Linked DNA regions of Saccharomyces cerevisiae S288C. Changing the gene in region 2 together with the main gene of any one other region gives a genetic interaction. Each region holds a gene or a part of one and is shown on either strand. Other genes may lie near its edges.

Evidence for each region.
Region 1: mutations in GEX2 (region 2) and SEN54 together harm fitness more than expected from each alone (negative genetic interaction), as found in Saccharomyces cerevisiae (one large-scale study listed by BioGRID).
Region 3: mutations in GEX2 (region 2) and YCR102C together harm fitness more than expected from each alone (negative genetic interaction), as found in Saccharomyces cerevisiae (one large-scale study listed by BioGRID).
Region 4: mutations in GEX2 (region 2) and SPO1 together harm fitness more than expected from each alone (negative genetic interaction), as found in Saccharomyces cerevisiae (one large-scale study listed by BioGRID).

The regions. Positions count from the first base shown.
Region 1 is NC_001148.4:395,777-399,983, forward strand, and holds SEN54 (tRNA splicing endonuclease subunit SEN54), read right to left. Parts: upstream 2,330-4,207; coding exon 926-2,329; downstream 1-925. Other genes in the region: BRO1 (Bro1p), read left to right, coding at 1-796; MOT1 (DNA-binding ATPase), read right to left, coding at 2,704-4,207. UniProt on the Saccharomyces cerevisiae protein: Non-catalytic subunit of the tRNA-splicing endonuclease complex, a complex responsible for identification and cleavage of the splice sites in pre-tRNA. It cleaves pre-tRNA at the 5' and 3' splice sites to release the intron.
Region 2 is NC_001143.9:659,052-664,067, reverse strand, and holds GEX2 (glutathione exchanger), read right to left. Parts: upstream 2,627-5,016; coding exon 779-2,626; downstream 1-778. Other genes in the region: VBA5 (basic amino acid transporter), read left to right, coding at 3,604-5,016.
Region 3 is NC_001135.5:303,638-307,873, forward strand, and holds YCR102C (uncharacterized protein), read right to left. Parts: upstream 1,831-4,236; coding exon 724-1,830; downstream 1-723. Other genes in the region: seripauperin PAU3, read left to right, coding at 4,164-4,236.
Region 4 is NC_001146.8:607,716-612,477, reverse strand, and holds SPO1 (putative carboxylic ester hydrolase), read right to left. Parts: upstream 2,793-4,762; coding exon 2,688-2,792; intron 2,604-2,687; coding exon 813-2,603; downstream 1-812. Other genes in the region: YNL011C (uncharacterized protein), read left to right, coding at 1-642; HEF3 (translation elongation factor EF-3), read right to left, coding at 3,025-4,762. UniProt on the Saccharomyces cerevisiae protein: Regulates spindle pole duplication in meiosis I, but not in mitosis. Required for meiosis I, meiosis II chromosome segregation and spore formation. Binds phosphatidylinositol (4)P mono- and polyphosphates.

The DNA.
Region 1 (4,207 bases), on a different chromosome or scaffold from region 2:
AATCAACAACGATGATATCACAAAATTATTAATTATTAATAAGGGGAAATCCGATGTTGAGCTCAAAGATTTATTCGAGGTGGAACTGGAGAAATTCGAGCCTTTGAGCACAAGAATAGAGGCGACAATTTACAAACAATCTTCAATGATAGATGACATCAAAGCCAAGCTAGATGAAATTTTTCACCTTTCAAATTTCAAGGATAAATCTTCTGGGGAAGAAAAATTTTTAGAAGATCGTAAGAATTTTTTTGATAAGCTGCAAGAAGCAGTGAAATCATTCAGTATTTTTGCATCCGACTTGCCAAAAGGAATAGAGTTCTATGATTCATTATTCAATATGAGTAGAGACTTAGCAGAAAGAGTGAGAGTTGCAAAGCAGACCGAGGATTCAACAGCTAATTCTCCCGCTCCTCCCCTCCCTCCACTTGATTCTAAAGCGTCTGTCGTTGGGGGTCCTCCATTACTGCCCCAAAAAAGTGCAGCCTTTCAGTCATTATCTAGACAAGGGCTCAATTTAGGGGACCAATTTCAAAATCTCAAAATAAGTGCCGGCAGTGATTTACCTCAAGGACCCGGTATTCCACCAAGAACTTATGAAGCTTCGCCATATGCTGCAACGCCTACTATGGCAGCCCCACCAGTACCACCGAAACAATCGCAAGAGGATATGTACGACTTGAGAAGACGTAAAGCAGTTGAAAACGAAGAACGTGAACTGCAAGAGAATCCTACGTCCTTTTACAATAGACCCTCTGTTTTTGATGAAAATATGTACTCCAAATACAGCAGTTAGGTGCATTTCTTATTTCTTAATTTTATTGTAGCTTTTTTTTTTCAACTAATATGATAATTATATATATACCGGATTTGTTGAAAGCCAGTTTTGCAAGGATAAAGAAACTGCGATTTAGCAAAAGTCCCTTTAATGCTTCTTCCATCTTTGATCTACTTTCTTTTGAGTATTAGGTGTATACCATACACTTTCAGATCCAAAATCAGCCTCGGACATTTTTACAAACGAAATAAGGCCATTATCCATAATAGCGATAATAAAGCTCCGATATCCCGTCTTCAATCTACGATTTTGCTGTATGTGAGGTGGGTACGCCTTTCTCTTCTTTTTCGTGCTAGACTGTGCAGTTTTTTTTTGAAAACTTGCTTTCATAGACGACTCACTTTTTTCAGTTTGAGATTTCGCGCTCCTCTTATGAATATATTCCTTTCGTGGGATATCTTCAACGTAGGAGTTTGTCTCCCAATCGTCATCATCCTCGATTTCGCTTAAAAATTCGAATTTATAATCAAGTGAGGAAAACATAGATCGCAGCTCTTTATAGGTAGGAAAATGCTGAAGATCGTCATTTTTATTGTAAACGAAAACTTGGAAATCAGGAAGACCGGGGTCTCTTTTCTTGAAATTAGAATGGGGTTTCCATACTTTAAATGTCAAGGGAATATCCTTTACCTTTTGAAATTCCCTATCAGATTGTGCATCCAATAGCTCTTTTTTATTCTTTGGTACAGCCACGGAACGAACAAGCCTATTTAAACCCTGGTATAACTGTGGTGAAGTCGTATATTTACGAAAAAAAAAATTCCACTTAGAATAGAAGAAACCACTAAACAGCGATAACTCTTGTATTTTAAACAATGAAAGTAATCTCCAAGTGATTGCTTGTAAATTACTTCGTTGCTTTTTCAATGGGAAAAAGGAAGTCTTGACTGCTGCTTCTTGATTGCTGGGTTTTAGAATAAAACCCAACCTTTTTAAATGAGCAAACACAAAATATTGGTCCATTTCCTGTTGCGATGAAAACAGCGAATACAAATCCTCCATACTGAGTAAAATCTCTGTTTCGTGCTTTGAGCTTTTGTTAGAGCCTGCTTCTAATCTATAATAAGGAAGAATAGTGCCTCTCTCTGCCAAATAAACAAACTCATGGAAGTCAAGCCAGAGTTCGCCTGTGCTATCAGCCCTTCCCATCGTTTGCATAAAGCTGCCTTTGGGTTTAAGTAGAACGGCTTGATGTTTATGGGGAACATAGTATCCTCTTACTTCAGATTTTACTGTTGTGCCTCTTATTGAGTCTGATATGGTATCAAACATGGCTTTACTTGCATTATAGAGAAGCAGATCTTGCAAATTAGTCCCATCTGGTTCATAGTCTTTTTCACCCCTCTTTGGAAGTGAAAGAGCAGCATTTTTGCTAACGAGCGATGCGAGTTGCGACCAATCTTGTTGTAGTTCTTCTTCTTCTTCTTCTTCTTCTTCAAAGCCCGGATTAGATGTGGTCACTTGATCAGTTTTCTTCCCAGCGAATTGCATTTAAATTGGCAGAAGAACAGAGGTTTTATGTATGTTTATATCCAAACGTTTCGATAGCTCAAATGAATAATTTTTCATACTGAGATGAAGCTCTGCAGAGTTCGACTAAACTGTTTCTAGTTTCCCTTTGGCGCAACTTAACTATGAAAAATAATAAAATAAAAAAAAAGTCCAAGCCATAATCAATAGACAGCTAATAACCTGAATTTTAACAAGAGAATATGAAAACATTATCAATACTGATTTGAATATACCCGTAAATTCTATAAGACTCCATTAATATACCGTATTATATTACAAGTTGATAATACATAAATGCGTTAAATAAAACAAAAATGACCTTGTATACGCGTCATTCCAATGCAAGAATTTGTTTATCGTAAAGTTTTGATGAAGGTGTCTAAATTATACTCCTCCTCGTATTGAGATGGGTCCCATAGCTCTTTCAATTCACCGAGGGCCTCTTTGGCTTTGCCAGTTAAACCAGTCTCGTTGGCAATATCTTCCATGCCCTTGGCTGCTTGGGAATCGCCATTATTCTTTTCCTCATTGTCCTGTGAGGTAACGTTATCGGGGTCGAAGAGATCAAGCAGCTGATGTGTATCCATGGATGCTAATCCACTGTTTTGCTGATTAACAACTGTAGAAGCTATATTCATTTTGAATTTCTGCAAACCCATGATTTTTTCTTCAAGCGTACCTTTCGTAATAATTCTGTAAACATTAACAACCTTTTTCTGACCAATTCTATGTGCTCTGTCCATTGCCTGTAGATCATTCATTGGATTCCAGTCATGCTCTACAAAAATGACGGTGTCTGCACCAGTTAAATTCAGACCCAGCCCTCCGACCTTGGTGGTCAACAGTAGGCAATCAATAGAGGGATCTTCGTTAAATTTCCGAACAACTTTTTGTCTGTCTCTTGGGTCAATGCTTCCATCTAGCCTCATATAGGTTACGGAGGGCATATACTTTTTAAACAAGTCATTTTCAACCATGTCTAGCATATCTTTTAGTTGGCAGAAAATCAGGGCTCTGTGTTGTGATATGACATTTTGAATAGGAAAATTCTGATCTTGGCTTGCTTTTTTGTCGATATCTTCTTCACCTATACCACATTCAAAGAGTAATGTTCTCAATGCGCTCAGTTTTGGAGCGTTGATAATATCGTGTAAATCTAGACCAGTTTGCTTTAAATAGTCTTGTACTTGCGCTAATTGCGGGTGATTTGGTGAAAGGACCAAAGCTGGATGATTACACAATTTTCTCATGTATTGTAAAGCTTGGAAAATATGTTGCTTGCCATCAGCAATCTCAGAATTTTCAATATCTTTCTCAACTACATTTTTTTGTTTTTTAGTAAAATCCATGTATAGTTGTTTTTGTAAATCACCTAATTCACAGTAGTAATCCTGAATAATTTTAGGTGGTAAATCAGATAGAACGTCTTCCTTCAATCTTCTCAGCATGAAAGGTAGAACTTGCTTATGTAGTGCCTCCAAAGCCAGTACACCTGCTTCCTGCTCCTTAGATGATGTTTTACTATTTCTTGACGCAGCGATTGGCTTTGCGAACCTTTCCTGGAACATCTTTTCCGTTCCCAAAAATCCCGGCATTAAGAAGTCAAACAGAGACCACAATTCTAAAACGTTGTTTTGGATGGGAGTTCCGGTTAAAATTAATCTATGGTTTGCAGTAATTTCTTTAACAGCCTTAGCAAGTTTTGATTGAGAGTTTTTAATTATATGTCCTTCATCCAAAACACAATAATTATATTCAGTTTTGTTTAGGACTGCGAGATCATTTCTAGCTACGTCATATGATGTTACAATAATATCAGCATCACTTAACTGTGGTCTCAGAGTTAATCTGACAGTT
Region 2 (5,016 bases):
GTCCATTTCTTTTGGGCACGCTGAACACGCTCAATGTAGTACTTGTTTTGGAAATCACTCGCAGCAAGTTTAATGGGACGAATTATATCAGTAATGTGTAAATTCCGACACAATGTTCGGTTAGTAGATTTACTGCTGGATTATTGGGTTCACCCGTAGACTGTTGCCGACTCCAAGAAAACTATGATCTCAATACAGGCATAAAGAATTGTTGTATCTGTGCCCATGTGATCTGTACCTTTTTTGCGGTACCAAAATCGCATGTTGCACTCACACTACGGAACACATCAACTTGTAACGACAACAATACAAAATACCAGGAGACATATCACTTTTTTTCGCTTAGAATGATTTACAATGGCATACACTTAGAAAAGTGCTATGACATGACGCCCTTACTAGAAGTTACATGATATTCTTTTTTTTCTTTCTTTCTTTCTTTTTCGGTACAACATAATTAATGCATTCATACAGAGCGCATTTCCAGCATCATTTATTGGATAGTAACTCCTCCCGCACTTTTAATATCAATGACGCTGACTCTTTTACTGACGCTGAGTCTTTACCGACGCTGAGTTTTTACCGACGCTTGTGAAAATAAAAAGTACGACACAGCTATATGCGTCGCAAGTTCAAATGTGGGTCTATCGAGCATGTTTATCCTATCCTGTTATGTCATTTTTATCGGAAGTAATAAAAATGTAGAAATCACTTGTTTTTGCCTTTTTTGTGATTTTGCTTTCATTTTTTTTTTGCCCTTTTTTCACCAGCTTGGGGATCAACATCCTGATTTCTTGTTACTTCGATTATGTCTAAAAAGTGCCTTGATTTGAGAGAAAATATTTTCCTCATCTGGCAAGACAACCAAACCATCTTCAGTGAATTCTTCGTGTGTCGCCTTGTCTATTAGTTCCGGGTTTCTCATGAACATTGTAAACGTAAAGAACGGTACCGTACATGCCAAGCCAACCGTCATTATTATTCGTTGAACATATCTGTAAGATTCAACCACAGCATCTCTTTCCGGTGAGCCCCAAGGATAATCACTAATGAATGTATAAGGTGATGCATATGCTATTTCTGCCAATGTATCGTTTCCAAGGTTCTTGTAGAGTTGGTTAGGCATGGTTTGTGTCCATATGGCACCAGAAACGGAGGCACCGATAGCAGCGCCTAGCTTTGAAAAGGTATACTGAATGCCGGTTATTACAGCCATCCTACTATGCGTAGTCATGGCTTGCAGTATGACGATCACTGAATTGCTGCATAGGAGACCGCTCAAACCCATGATAACAGATGCAGCGATAACACCTTCATGAGACCCAGATCCTCCTCTGTATTTGTAAAAAAGGCCCATGCACACCATCCATGCAGCACAACCTCCGATTACAGAAAGTTTCAGTTTCCTTGTCTTTGCCACCAACAAACTGTAGAATGGAGATGCAGTAGCAGCAACAAAGTCAGGAAGGTTTACTATCCGAGCAGCCGAAGTGGACGATTCTTTCATCGATACCAGCAAAACAGGATACAGATAGTCGCACGAAATGAAAAAGGTGAAAAAATTGAAAAAAGTAACACCAAGGGGTGCCCAAATTCCACGATCACTTAGTAATTTGAACGGTAGAAGAGGAGATTTGGCAAATTTGGCCTCCCAATATAAAAAAATGAAAAATAAACAGCCACCTGAAACTAAAGTGGCAATTATTTTTGAATTGTGCCACTTTTGTGATGTCTCATTAGCCAACGTCAAAGGAACAAGAATACACCCTAGCGACACAGTTATTAATAATATGCCAACAATATCGAGTTTCCAGAATAGAAACACCAAATTCTCAAATAATCCGCCCGTTCTTTCCTTTCTAGCCTGTTCTTTGAGAGATCTCCACTCAGCAGTCTTTGAAGATTTGTACTTCATATAAAGAATAAGAAATATAATTGGCAAGGTAGAGAGTGGGTAAATAAAAGCCCACATTGCAATATTCCAGGACCAGTTTTTCTGAGGATTTGCTGCTGTGATAATATTGCCTGAAATCCATGGTATTATGATATATGGCCAATATGAGGCGTACTGGTAAAACATTCTCCATTTCAAGGAGGAGAAATCTGAGAGTATTAATGTCAGGAGCAGATTTGTTCCGACGTATCCACAGTTATAGAAAACCGATCCTGCTGCATACATGGTGAGACGGGTCGCCTGTGATTGAATGATGGTTCCCATTATATAAAAAATAGTTGCAACTAAAAAAAGCCTTAGTCTTCCGAAGTGGTCAGAGAGTCTAGAGTAGACAACTTGGGATCCGACACTCACAACAGCATTGATAACTTGGACAGTTGAAAGTAAGGAGTGTTCTGAATATGAGTTCGTTGCATAGCCCGTATAGGTCGATCTAAGTGTGTAGTCTAAACTAATTCCAAACCCACATACAAACGCGGTACTTATCAGTAGAATTTTATATTTCAAGGAATCAAACTGTGCAGACATAATTTCGTTTTCTTTGAGCTTAAAAAAGGTCGATGTCATAGAGTACGTGTCATCGTTTGAGTGACGTTCTCGCTCAATAATCTCACAGGACTGCCTAATTCCACTTTTTTTATTACTTGAGGCACCAACAACACTAGAACTCATCCGATAATTTATTTACTTGATTATTCTTTTTTTTTTTTTTCTCGTTCCAGTCCATAAAACTATTTTACTTTTCTTATTTATGTAAATAGTATTTAAGATTCTACGGTCGCTACATCTGCTAGAAATGGAATTACTTTAATACATTCCATGTTCTCATATATATTTTACTGACACATTTTGTCACTATTTTTTTTTTAACTTTTTTTTGGAAGTACTAAAATTATATGCTCGTAATTATTGAGTATCAAAAAAAAATAAAAAAAATTGCTGTGACGCCCCTTCAATGTGGTGTCTATACACCTGGTGACTTTAACTTTAACTTTGACCTGTCGTCGTACAATCAACTTACTTTCCGAAAATCCACAACGAACCAGTTATACCGAAGACTTTTGTACGACAAGAATACTGTACCGTCGAAACTATCTCTTTTCAAACTAATGAGTGAAGCTTGTGTTTATGTCTGTTGAAACAAGGAAAAAAATGCGGTGCCTGTCGACAGGATATGAGCACAAGTGCAAAATCATCAAAAAATTGAGTACCTAGATCCGGTGGTGTAGGACGAGCAAAGTTCCTTCATAAACAAACCGTAAGGGTTACTGATACACAATTTCCTTTGTGTAAAGAGTATTTGAGCAAATTAGTCGGCGATTGAAAGCAACACCCTTTTTTCTATATATAGTAGGTGAAAGTTAACATGCGAGTAAAAGTAGTGCCACATTTCCTTTGCAGCAGGTGCAAATTAGTACATATTTAACAGATAGCGCCGCACCTCATATGCAGCGCGTACATGATACGAGTCGACAAAATATGCAAAAGATAATAGTGTCATCACACCTTTATGAGAAGCGAATTTTTTTTTTTTTTGGTTTAAATATATATATACATATATATAGATGTATTCTAGTTATACTCATACCTAGAACTGATCAGACCAGATCATACCTGGTATAGAGCTTAATCGATAGAAATTCAAAAATATGGAGGAAACTAAGTACTCTTCGCAGCAGGAGATAGAAGGAGCATGTGGTTCAGACGCTTCATTGAATGCTAGAGGTAGCAATGATTCTCCAATGGGACTTTCCTTGTACCTCTGCCTGGCTTCGTTAACTCTTGTACTATTCATAACTGCACTGGATATTTTGATAGTGGGAACTATTATTGACGTGGTCGCAGAACAGTTCGGAAACTACTCCAAAACAGGTTGGCTCGTTACAGGCTACAGTTTACCAAATGCTATTCTGAGTCTCATTTGGGGAAGATTCGCATCTATCATAGGTTTCCAGCATAGTCTCATTTTAGCAATACTTATTTTTGAAGCCGGATCCCTAATTGCTGCCCTTGCCTCTTCAATGAATATGCTCATTTTCGGTAGAGTTGTTGCTGGTGTTGGGGGAAGCGGACTCCAAACGCTTTGCTTTGTTATTGGTTGTACGATGGTTGGTGAAAGGTCACGTCCATTGGTGATTTCCATCCTAAGTTGTGCATTTGCTGTAGCTGCTATCGTTGGTCCTATAATCGGAGGTGCCTTTACAACCCATGTTACCTGGAGGTGGTGCTTCTATATCAATCTTCCTATCGGTGGTCTTGCCATTATTATGTTTTTACTCACCTATAAGGCCGAGAATAAGGGTATACTTCAACAAATTAAAGATGCTATAGGAACAATCTCGAGCTTTACTTTTAGTAAGTTCAGACACCAAGTTAATTTTAAAAGACTTATGAATGGCATAATCTTCAAGTTTGACTTCTTTGGTTTTGCCCTCTGCTCTGCAGGGCTGGTCCTTTTCCTACTGGGGCTAACCTTTGGTGGTAATAAATATAGTTGGAACTCTGGCCAAGTCATCACATATTTGGTTTTGGGTGTCTTACTTTTTATTTTTTCATTGGTGTACGATTTCTTCCTATTCGATAAATTCAACCCGGAACCTGATAATATATCCTACAGGCCTCTCCTTCTAAGAAGATTGGTAGCAAAACCAGCCATAATAATAGTAAACATGGTAACATTTCTATTATGTACCGGTTACAATGGGCAAATGATATACTCTGTCCAGTTTTTCCAACTTATATTTGCGTCGAGTGCATGGAAAGCCGGTCTTCACTTGATACCAATCGTTATTACCAACGTTATTGCGGCCATTGCAAGTGGTGTGATTACCAAAAAGCTCGGTTTAGTTAAACCACTCTTAATATTTGGAGGCGTTCTTGGGGTAATTGGAGCAGGGCTTATGACACTTATGACAAATACGTCCACGAAGTCAACTCAAATTGGTGTTTTGCTATTACCGGGGTTTTCCCTTGGATTTGCTCTACAAGCATCGCTCATGAGTGCACAGCTTCAAATTACCAAAGATCGTCCAGAAGCTGCTATGGACTTTATTGAAGTAACA
Region 3 (4,236 bases), on a different chromosome or scaffold from region 2:
GTGATGTTACGAACGCCACGATTATTCTCAAACTAGGTAAAGATTTTTTCTTCAAAATTAGTGGGAAAGACTCGACAGACCCGCTTACCAGGTATTCTTTCTAAACAATAGGGTTTACCAGTACCCCTGAAAATGATAATGCCCATGTGCGGCTGATCGCGTTAACTACGTATGCAGTTGAATCAAAGCCATACCACAGAAAATGGTACAAGAGCCCACTGGATAGAATAGTGCTGGCTATCAAACCAATATTTTCTTTCCAGCTCTTGGGGGACCTCTACTGCGTTATATCGTAGTTTCCATTCAGCCTGCTTATCGCCTTAGGAAAAGGGAATGTAAGAGGCAGAAAAGTGCGGCGCAATCGTTCGGACAGCGAGCCGCTATTATAGGTAAGAATTCTTAAAGAGCTTCGCCGGATATTATTACAGTGTATTAAATTTCGCCAAGTCTTTGCCAATGGAAATAGGTGCATAATTTTATGTGCTTGGTACATATGAGTTCAATAGATATGTAGTAGTTGGATAGTAGATAGTAAGGATATATAATCATGGAAGGGTGACGCACAACAAATCACATAATGAGTTATGATTTTCACTGTTCTCATCTGTTTCCCCTACAAGGCGTGATCAATAACAAACAATTTCATTAAAAAAAAAAAAACCAAGTCACTCTAACATACGTAATAACTGTGTATACAAAAGAAAAATAATATCTGTTCGTCATCTAGTTTAATACGGCAACTAGTTTTTCACCAGAGTTCTTACCGATTTTAATGTCTTCCAGGATACGAGGAACATCGTAAAGCCCGTTCTTATAGACCCTTGCTGGAATATGGTGAATTTGCCCATCACTAATCTTTGGATTGATGAACTTGACGAATTCGGTGGCAGCTCTCCTGGCTTCTGGGTCAGCAGGGAAAGTAATGCCACCAAATGGTACTTCATGGCCGCCTATTGAATACAGTCTTGTTCTGTCAATAGTGACATTTTGCCTCCTATTCTCCTTTTTGACGTTTTCTTCTGTCAAATTAGTTAATTCGACAACGGTAGCATCCTGTTTATCGGCCGCACATTTGTACACTTGTTGAAGCGTATTTTGATTCGCGACACAGTCGACTAAATACGAGATATTGTTGTACTTGTGTTTAATTTGTTCTACCACGTCAATATCATGGTAATCAAATAGTTGATCAGCACCATATTCTTTCAACAGTTTTTCGTGTTTCCGAGAAGCCACAACAATGATCTTGGTGAAGCCATTCAATTTATTGGCTAATTGGATGAGCGACTGACCTACTGCAGTTGCACCGCCCCATAATAAGATGGGGCCGTTTCTTTGTGGGGTTGATGGCTCCCACTTCAGGTTCAAGCCCAAGTTATAGGTCAACACCAAGCCAGCTGTGGTCAGTGACACTGGGATAGTGGCTGCCCCTTCCAAAGACCTGACAGGGCCGGCAGGTAGAACATCTTCACCCAAAAATTTGAGTTCATTGGGTGATTTGTAGGCAACCACAGTTGAAATAGCAGAATATTCAGCAAAAGCACCATTGGAAGGAAACCTTACGGAAGATCCGTGAATGAACCCATAAATATAATCACCAATAGAAAAGTCTTTAGGATCGACGGCTGGGCCCAATTTGACAATTTGGCCGGCAGCGTCACATCCCAGAATAGATCCTTGAGGCCCGACCTTGTAGTCAATGTGTGCCCAATCAGTCGGGTTACCAGCAACAGCGAGTGTCTTAATCAATACGAATCCTTCTTCCAATTCAGGAATGGGAACGCCCTCTTTGACAACCGCTTTACCGTCTTCAATGACGACAGCCTTCATGGTTTCTGGAATTGCAACTTGCCTGTTTGTAGGTTATATGTAATTGTCGTTGATAATCTGTATTCAGCTTGCCATTTTATAGAATATGGTTAGAAGGATCTTAAGCTAGATAAAGAAAAAGAAAAAAATAGAAAAAAGCCTGCCCGCTTTATAAGAACTTTTCTCAATATCTGTTGAGGAACACTTAGTAATATTGTCTATCATGGTTGCTTTATTCTTGGTGATATTACTCTCTGGGATTCGATGTGTTCTCATCATCTGAAGGGTTTCCTATGTGTTGAAAGCCTATCCCACTAGACGGAGCCGCGCGCCAGCCGGGCGGATCCGAGACATCTTAGTCAGCTGAGACAAGAAAGGCACAGCTCTCGGACAGGAACTGCTGTCATATGAAAACCTAAAAATGTTTCCTGGAAATTCCATGACTGCGCAAAGTTTGATACGTTTATTGTTCTTCTCTACTACCGCACTTTCTATCTCGGAAACCTTTCAACTGAATGAACTATTGTTAATTGTATGGCGTGTGGCCTTGCTATTTCAGCAAATTTAGAGTAAAGTAAACTCCGTCGGACCAGTATAGTAACGAAACAAGCCATTGATTCTGCAGCATATTGCGACCAAAACCTGGAAATTGGTGGCTATGAGTTTTAATTTATAATTATATGAAGACAAAGCTTGGAATGCTGAGTACTTTTTCTTCAATGCTGCTCACTGCCCAGAAGCGTTCAGAACAACTCTACTGGAGCCATTCTGCTTGAAGGAGGATAAAAATGCCAAGATCAAGTCTTTTAAAGACTCTATCCCTTTTCATCGGAAAAGCACTACAAGTTTATTCTACAGAAGTGGACAAACTGTGGAACTTGATCCATACTGAGTAAGTATGGAAGACTGTTAACTTGGAGGATTTTTCTCTGCTTTCTAAAGAAGGTTCACTGCTTTACACTCACCTAGGTTCTCATGAGTATTGCTAGCTAGTGCGAGTTTGATCTATACTTCACAGACTTTTAACACCCCGTTCTTTAAGTTTTCCCTGATTATCAAGCGGATTTCCAATTCTTATTCCCCACTATCGCACCTTTCTTATCTGAATTGTATTTTTGAGTGGCCTAACTGTAATCTTTTATTTTGTTTTCTAATTATTGAAGGCGGTTTCTCGAAACATTTCACGATTTCCAAAATTCAAGAATTGAAATTATGAACATAGAAGACAAAATGCCTTTTTTATCAACTATTATGAATTCTCTAGAAAGTGGTTGCAAAGGAAATAAATATGTATTTGCTGAGAGGAAAAGTTTGGAAGAACAAAAAGTATTTCTTTGATGGAGCTGATTATCAAGCATTCTTTACGGGGAGCTTTCGAAATTTTTTATATTCAAGGACATTTATGTTGTGTGGGTTATTAAACGTGGGACTTTGGAAATACATCCAAGAAGCACAATTGAGCTCTAACGATGAACCGTTACCATAAAGATAGAGACATTTCTTTTGACTTAGAAGCTACATGGAGTACCAACTATTAATACACCTCTCCTAGAGAACATTTTTAAAATAGAATAAAATAAAGTAGCGCTCTCAACTACCCTTACACTTTTTTCCTTCATATCTGGCTAGAAAAGAGGGATTACATCTCGGAATCAAAGTTTTAATACTGCTACTACGAACTGGTTACAATTCTATTTTTATCATACACGATACTTTGAACATCAACTTCTCTCAATACCATCCGCCTTCAGCGGCTACAATTACGTAATTGCACCAAGGCATTCGCCGAGAGTTTACATATTTGCAGACCCTAACAGTATACGACTCCCAACACACGTTTAATGTTGTACGAATTCAAGAGATGGAAATATTTCTTCCGCGGAAGCCGTTTAAAGCAGACTGAATTTAGGCTTAGACAATAAGCTTCTGAACGAGGGTCCAAATCTAAAATTCGGATATTCTTTTTGACCGAAAGCGGAAACTTCACAGGCGCGCGTAAAAGGGTTTTTCAAGGCACCCCGGCACCCCTATAATTGGCATTCCCACATTCTGCGCATACGAATACACATGAGTGCCATAAAACAATACTCCACATACGAAACCTATGAAAGATGTATGATTCGTTCAGAAACAAGAGCATCTCCATAGAGATAATGAGATTGTGTGAAAGATGAGATATGGAGGATATGTGAGGTGCTAAATGAGCGTCTGTTAACGAATCGTTTAAGTAGTGATGACAGATGGAGGAACGGGTATAAATAGAGCTGCTTCAACTATATGCCTTTGAGGTATGCGCTTTCATTTCACTATTTCTTGTTAAGATTACATCAGCACTAACAAACAAAACAAATACAATGGTCAAATTAACTTCAATCGCTGCTGGTGTTGCCGCCATCGCTGCCGGTATTGCCGCTGCCCCAGCCACTA
Region 4 (4,762 bases), on a different chromosome or scaffold from region 2:
TTGAAAATTCTCCTCGACGATGAGGAAGAAGAAGCGGAAGAGGAGTATGCCAATCCTATCTATATTCTTCCAGAACTGAAAAACTCCCAGTTGCATTTTGACAAGCTTGATGAATCACAGAATCTACCTGCTCCGGTACATAGGATATTGTATATAAACCCATATGGCGAAGAGATAAAACCAATGGGAAATCCAAGAGCTATTTCCAAGGTGAAAAAAGCTGACATGGTCGTTTATTCTATCGGTTCTTTAATGACAAGTTTACTCCCAATCCTTATTCTTGGTAATCTTGCTGAAGTAATTTTGGAATCTAATAATACGAAAAAAGTTTTGCTCATAAATAATAAATATGATAGAGAGGTTTTTGGTTTAGACGGTTTACACTACGTTCAAATGATCATAGATTCTATGAGTAGGGCAATAGCAGGCTATAGGCAATCTAAGGGTGTCCATTCAGAGAATGATGACTTTGAATGGCAAGATTTTATTACTGATATTGTTTACCTAAAAAATGGTGAAATTGAAATTGATGAAACGATATTCGAGAAGCATAGTATTAGATGCCACCAGATCGCGTCTTCGGATAAGATGGAAAGTGAAGAACTTGAAAAGGTTCTGAATCAAATTGGCCTTAAAAACTGATGCAACTATGTCGCTCATTAACGGTTATTATAGTGAAGACTACATAATAAAGACATAGATAATAAAAAAGAATCGCGTTTGAACCATGTTTTATTTAACCATATGGCATAGAAGAAAAGTAAAAAAGGTGAACAAAAACTCATTAAATTTCACAGAAAAAGTCTACTCTCTTATGAGTAACAGTAGTCTTTAAAGCATTGTAAGCAAAATGGCGAAAATTTCTTTTTTCTTGGGAGCCTGTCCATTGTTCTTTTGGTTAATATACAGCCTAAGCAATTTTTATAATAAAGGTCATAATCATTGCTAAACACTCCCCTTCCAGTGGGTAACATACTGCTAACTTCAGACTGATTGTAAGTTATTTTGAATGTCGACGTATTAGATGCGTTTCCATGATTCGCATTGGCATGATAAATTATAATTGGCAAAAATGAATCATGTCCAGTTCTTTTGGTAGCATTGCATCCTATAACAATGGGGTGAGTGAATGTTTTTACATTGTTCGGAAATTGGTAATGAACGTTCTCTTCATCTAATTTTTCGAATATCCTTTTTAACTTGGAGCCGTTTGGATAGTTGTCAATATCCGAACTAGAATCCAGAACAAAAATTACATCTAGTTCCCTTTCAGGAATCACCAATGTTCTGAGTGGAATATTCTCGCCGTCTTCTCCGCCGTCTACAAGGTATAAATGATTTTTGTTAGTTAGGACATTGTCTTTTTCAGGATAAAGATAAAAGGGATTGGGTTGATATACGGCATAGTCTGTCTCTAATCTCGAGGAGTCTTTCGAAATACTAAATATTTCCTCTTTACCTAGGCCAAAAATTCCCATAACCATATTCAAAGCTTTCATTGCTTCTCTGGAGGACTGAGAAGCCAAATTCCAGATGAAGATGAGCACATTGTTGAATATTGAAGAAGACGTCGCAGTAATAAAACCTAGATCATCAAAGTTATTAATACACTTCTCGGCCTTTCCAGAAACAATTTTTGAGCCCAAATAGGGCAACTTGACGAAAAGTCTGAGGATATTTTCCCAAGATCCAAATTCAAAGGGCGTAAATTCAAATATAACGTTTGAAAGAAGTCCATTTTTGCAATTTGCAACGAATATTGGGATCGGCACACTGCATTCCTTAAATTTTTTAGACGAGTTTACAAGCTTCGAAAACGAAAAGGAATGGTTGGGATCGTCATCGAAATTTTTTTTTAGTCTTTGAACGATTGCTTTACCCCAATAATCGGTGAACGATATTTGGAAACCCTCCATTTTTTTAGGCTTAATTTTCAAATGCAAACTTTTGTAAAAGTCTAGCACTTTTTTAAAGGTTTCAATCTTCGCATCAGTTCCAGTGAAAGTGTTGTTAGGAAAGAATATTTTTTTTAGTCTTGCTAATGGATTCAAGTTTCTCTTCGTTATCATATAGTCTTCTGGGATTTCTTCTATGGAATTCATGATCTCCTCTATTTGTTCATAAAAATTTGAAGAGCTTGTAATCAGAGAACCCCCCTGACGCTTCTTCATCTTCAAATCATTATCATTATACTCCTTTTTTGCATTGGTAACAATTTCTTCTTCGGAAATATCGAATTCCGGTATGCCTAATAAAAGATCCTCTTCAAGGTCCCACTCTTGTAGCAGGGATTTTACTTCAAAATTTTGAACTACCAAATCCATCAAGATCCAACTTCCGCCTGATAATCCAGCAATATAATCCGAATATTCAAAAAGGCCATAATCGTTCATTTGGGAAATAAATCCGGTACCTACTAACATGGATCTGTACCCGCCGCCAGATATAGCAATCCCAATTTTTGGAGGATCTTTCAACACGCGTTTATAAAACTTCGAACTAAACTTTGCCTCTGTCAAGGATTTTAAAAACTGAATCAGTTTATTCTTCGTTTTAATTTTTTTTTTCTTCAGATACAAGGTTTCTTCTGGACAGAGTTCATGCTAATAAACAAAGGAATACGAAGTTTTGGTATATTCGGTTAGTTTTGGCCCATATTTGTTAAAGTGGCAAAGAGTTTAACTTACTTTGGCCTCCCTAATAAGTGGAGAGCTAGGACATTGTACCTGAAATGGTGCTGTTGCTAGTACTACTGTCAATAACACAGAAAAGACAAAGAGGAGTTTTTGCATTATTTTGGGATATTTATGTCTTTACTTAGGTTTTTTACTTGTATACTTTCTCTGAGTGCATTTACTTAAATATGGTTGTATAGCCGCTGAAGTATGTTTTTTTTTACCTTTCTTTGTGAAAATCAGTAATAGAAAATAAACATAAAAAAAATAAAAATATAAAAAAAGAATAAGGATGTTAACTTCAAAAATATATAAGTTACTCACTGAAAGAGATGTACTCGACTTCAAATTAAAAATCTTCATCAGAAGAAACGTATTCATCACCCATCTCTTTTTTCTTCTTCATTCTCTCCTTCTTTTTCTTTCTCAATTCTGCAGAAGAGAGTTTGCTTTTTTTCTTCCCACTATTAATCTTGTTACCCATAGCATCAAATTTATCACCCTCTTCTTCTTTTTTCTCAATTCTTGGGCCAGCACCTTGTCCTGCAACCCAATTATGGCCAGAGGGTGTCATTTTCCCATCCTTAACCGCCCAAACTTCGTCAGTCAGATTCTTAGTAAATTCTGCCGAATGCGTAATAATAATGACACCACCTTCAAAAGCTTTTAATGCTTTTGAAAGAGCACCCAATGAATCTCTGTCCAAGTAATTCGTAGGTTCATCTAAAACAATCAAATGGGGTCTTTGCCACGTGCAGGCAGCGAGTACCAATTTAACCTTTTGCCCACCCGATAAACCTCTAATTCTTGAATGTGAGACTAATTCTGAATCCAACCCCAACATGGCGCAATGTAATTCAATCTCTTTTCTTGTTAAAGCCCTGAATTGACCAGAAGCCAAAGCTTCCTTCATATCAATTTCAGCAACCATTTTAGAATGGGATTCAATCAATTCGCCCCTTGGTAGCCAAGCATTGTCGACAGACATCATTGGAACCCATCTTTCAGATTTCATACCAATGTTCTCACCTAACAAAAACGAACATTCGTACTCATACGTGTTTTTAAATTTCCTTCTTGAATGGATTCCTGCAACCCTTCTTGGGGTCCCTTCAATTTTAAATATTTTATTCATGGCCTCTGCGTCATTTTCATTTATTTGCCTATTTGCTCTATCCATTGTTTCCCTATCCTCACCAGTTTGGAACCTCCATTGAATGTATTCGGATGGAGTTTTGTCTAAGTGCGATTCAATGTGTGCAAAAGCGTGCTGCTTAATATACGCTATACGACAATTCTCGTGTGTATATACTTCACCGCTGGTTGGTAACAGTTCACCAGTAAGAACATTAATTAAAGTGGACTTACCAGCCCCATTAGGTCCGATAACTGCAATCCTTGAGGATAGAGAACACTGGAAAGTAACATCTGAGACTTGTGGTTTAGTTGTCCCTGGATATTGAAAAGTCATATTACTTACTTTAACAATTGCCTTTTGCTTCGTTTTGACACCTTCTAGATAACCAGGAGTTGGGAATTGAAATTCAAGGTCAGAGGCACCTAATTCATAGTATGATTGTGCCGTAGGACATTTTTGAACAAATTCTGATAAATTACCCTTGTACTTTCTTAATTTAAGACCCTCATAATGTATGATGTATTGACAAACCTTATCCAGAAAACCAGAATCATGAGAGACAATCACCGATGTAATTCCGCAAGTATTCAAATAATTTACCAGCCACTCCACATTAACAGTGTCTAGATGATTTGTTGGTTCATCCAATAGTAGAATGTCAGCGTCCTTCAGAACAGCCCTCGCCAAAGCTAATTTCATTTTCCAACCTCCAGATAGGGATGCAATTGGCATTTCTATCATTTCATCGCTGAACCCAAACTCCTTTAATTTCGAGGTAATAACATCCTTAGTTCCTACATTGCCGGAATATACAAAATCTAAAACGGACATGTCCGAATGTGTATTATCGATATCGTGTTCCACATAAACAGTGCGACATTCATCCTGAGTGGGGAACCCGTCAACTTGGCCATTAGCAATGGATCGCATTAGAGTGGATTTTCCGGCA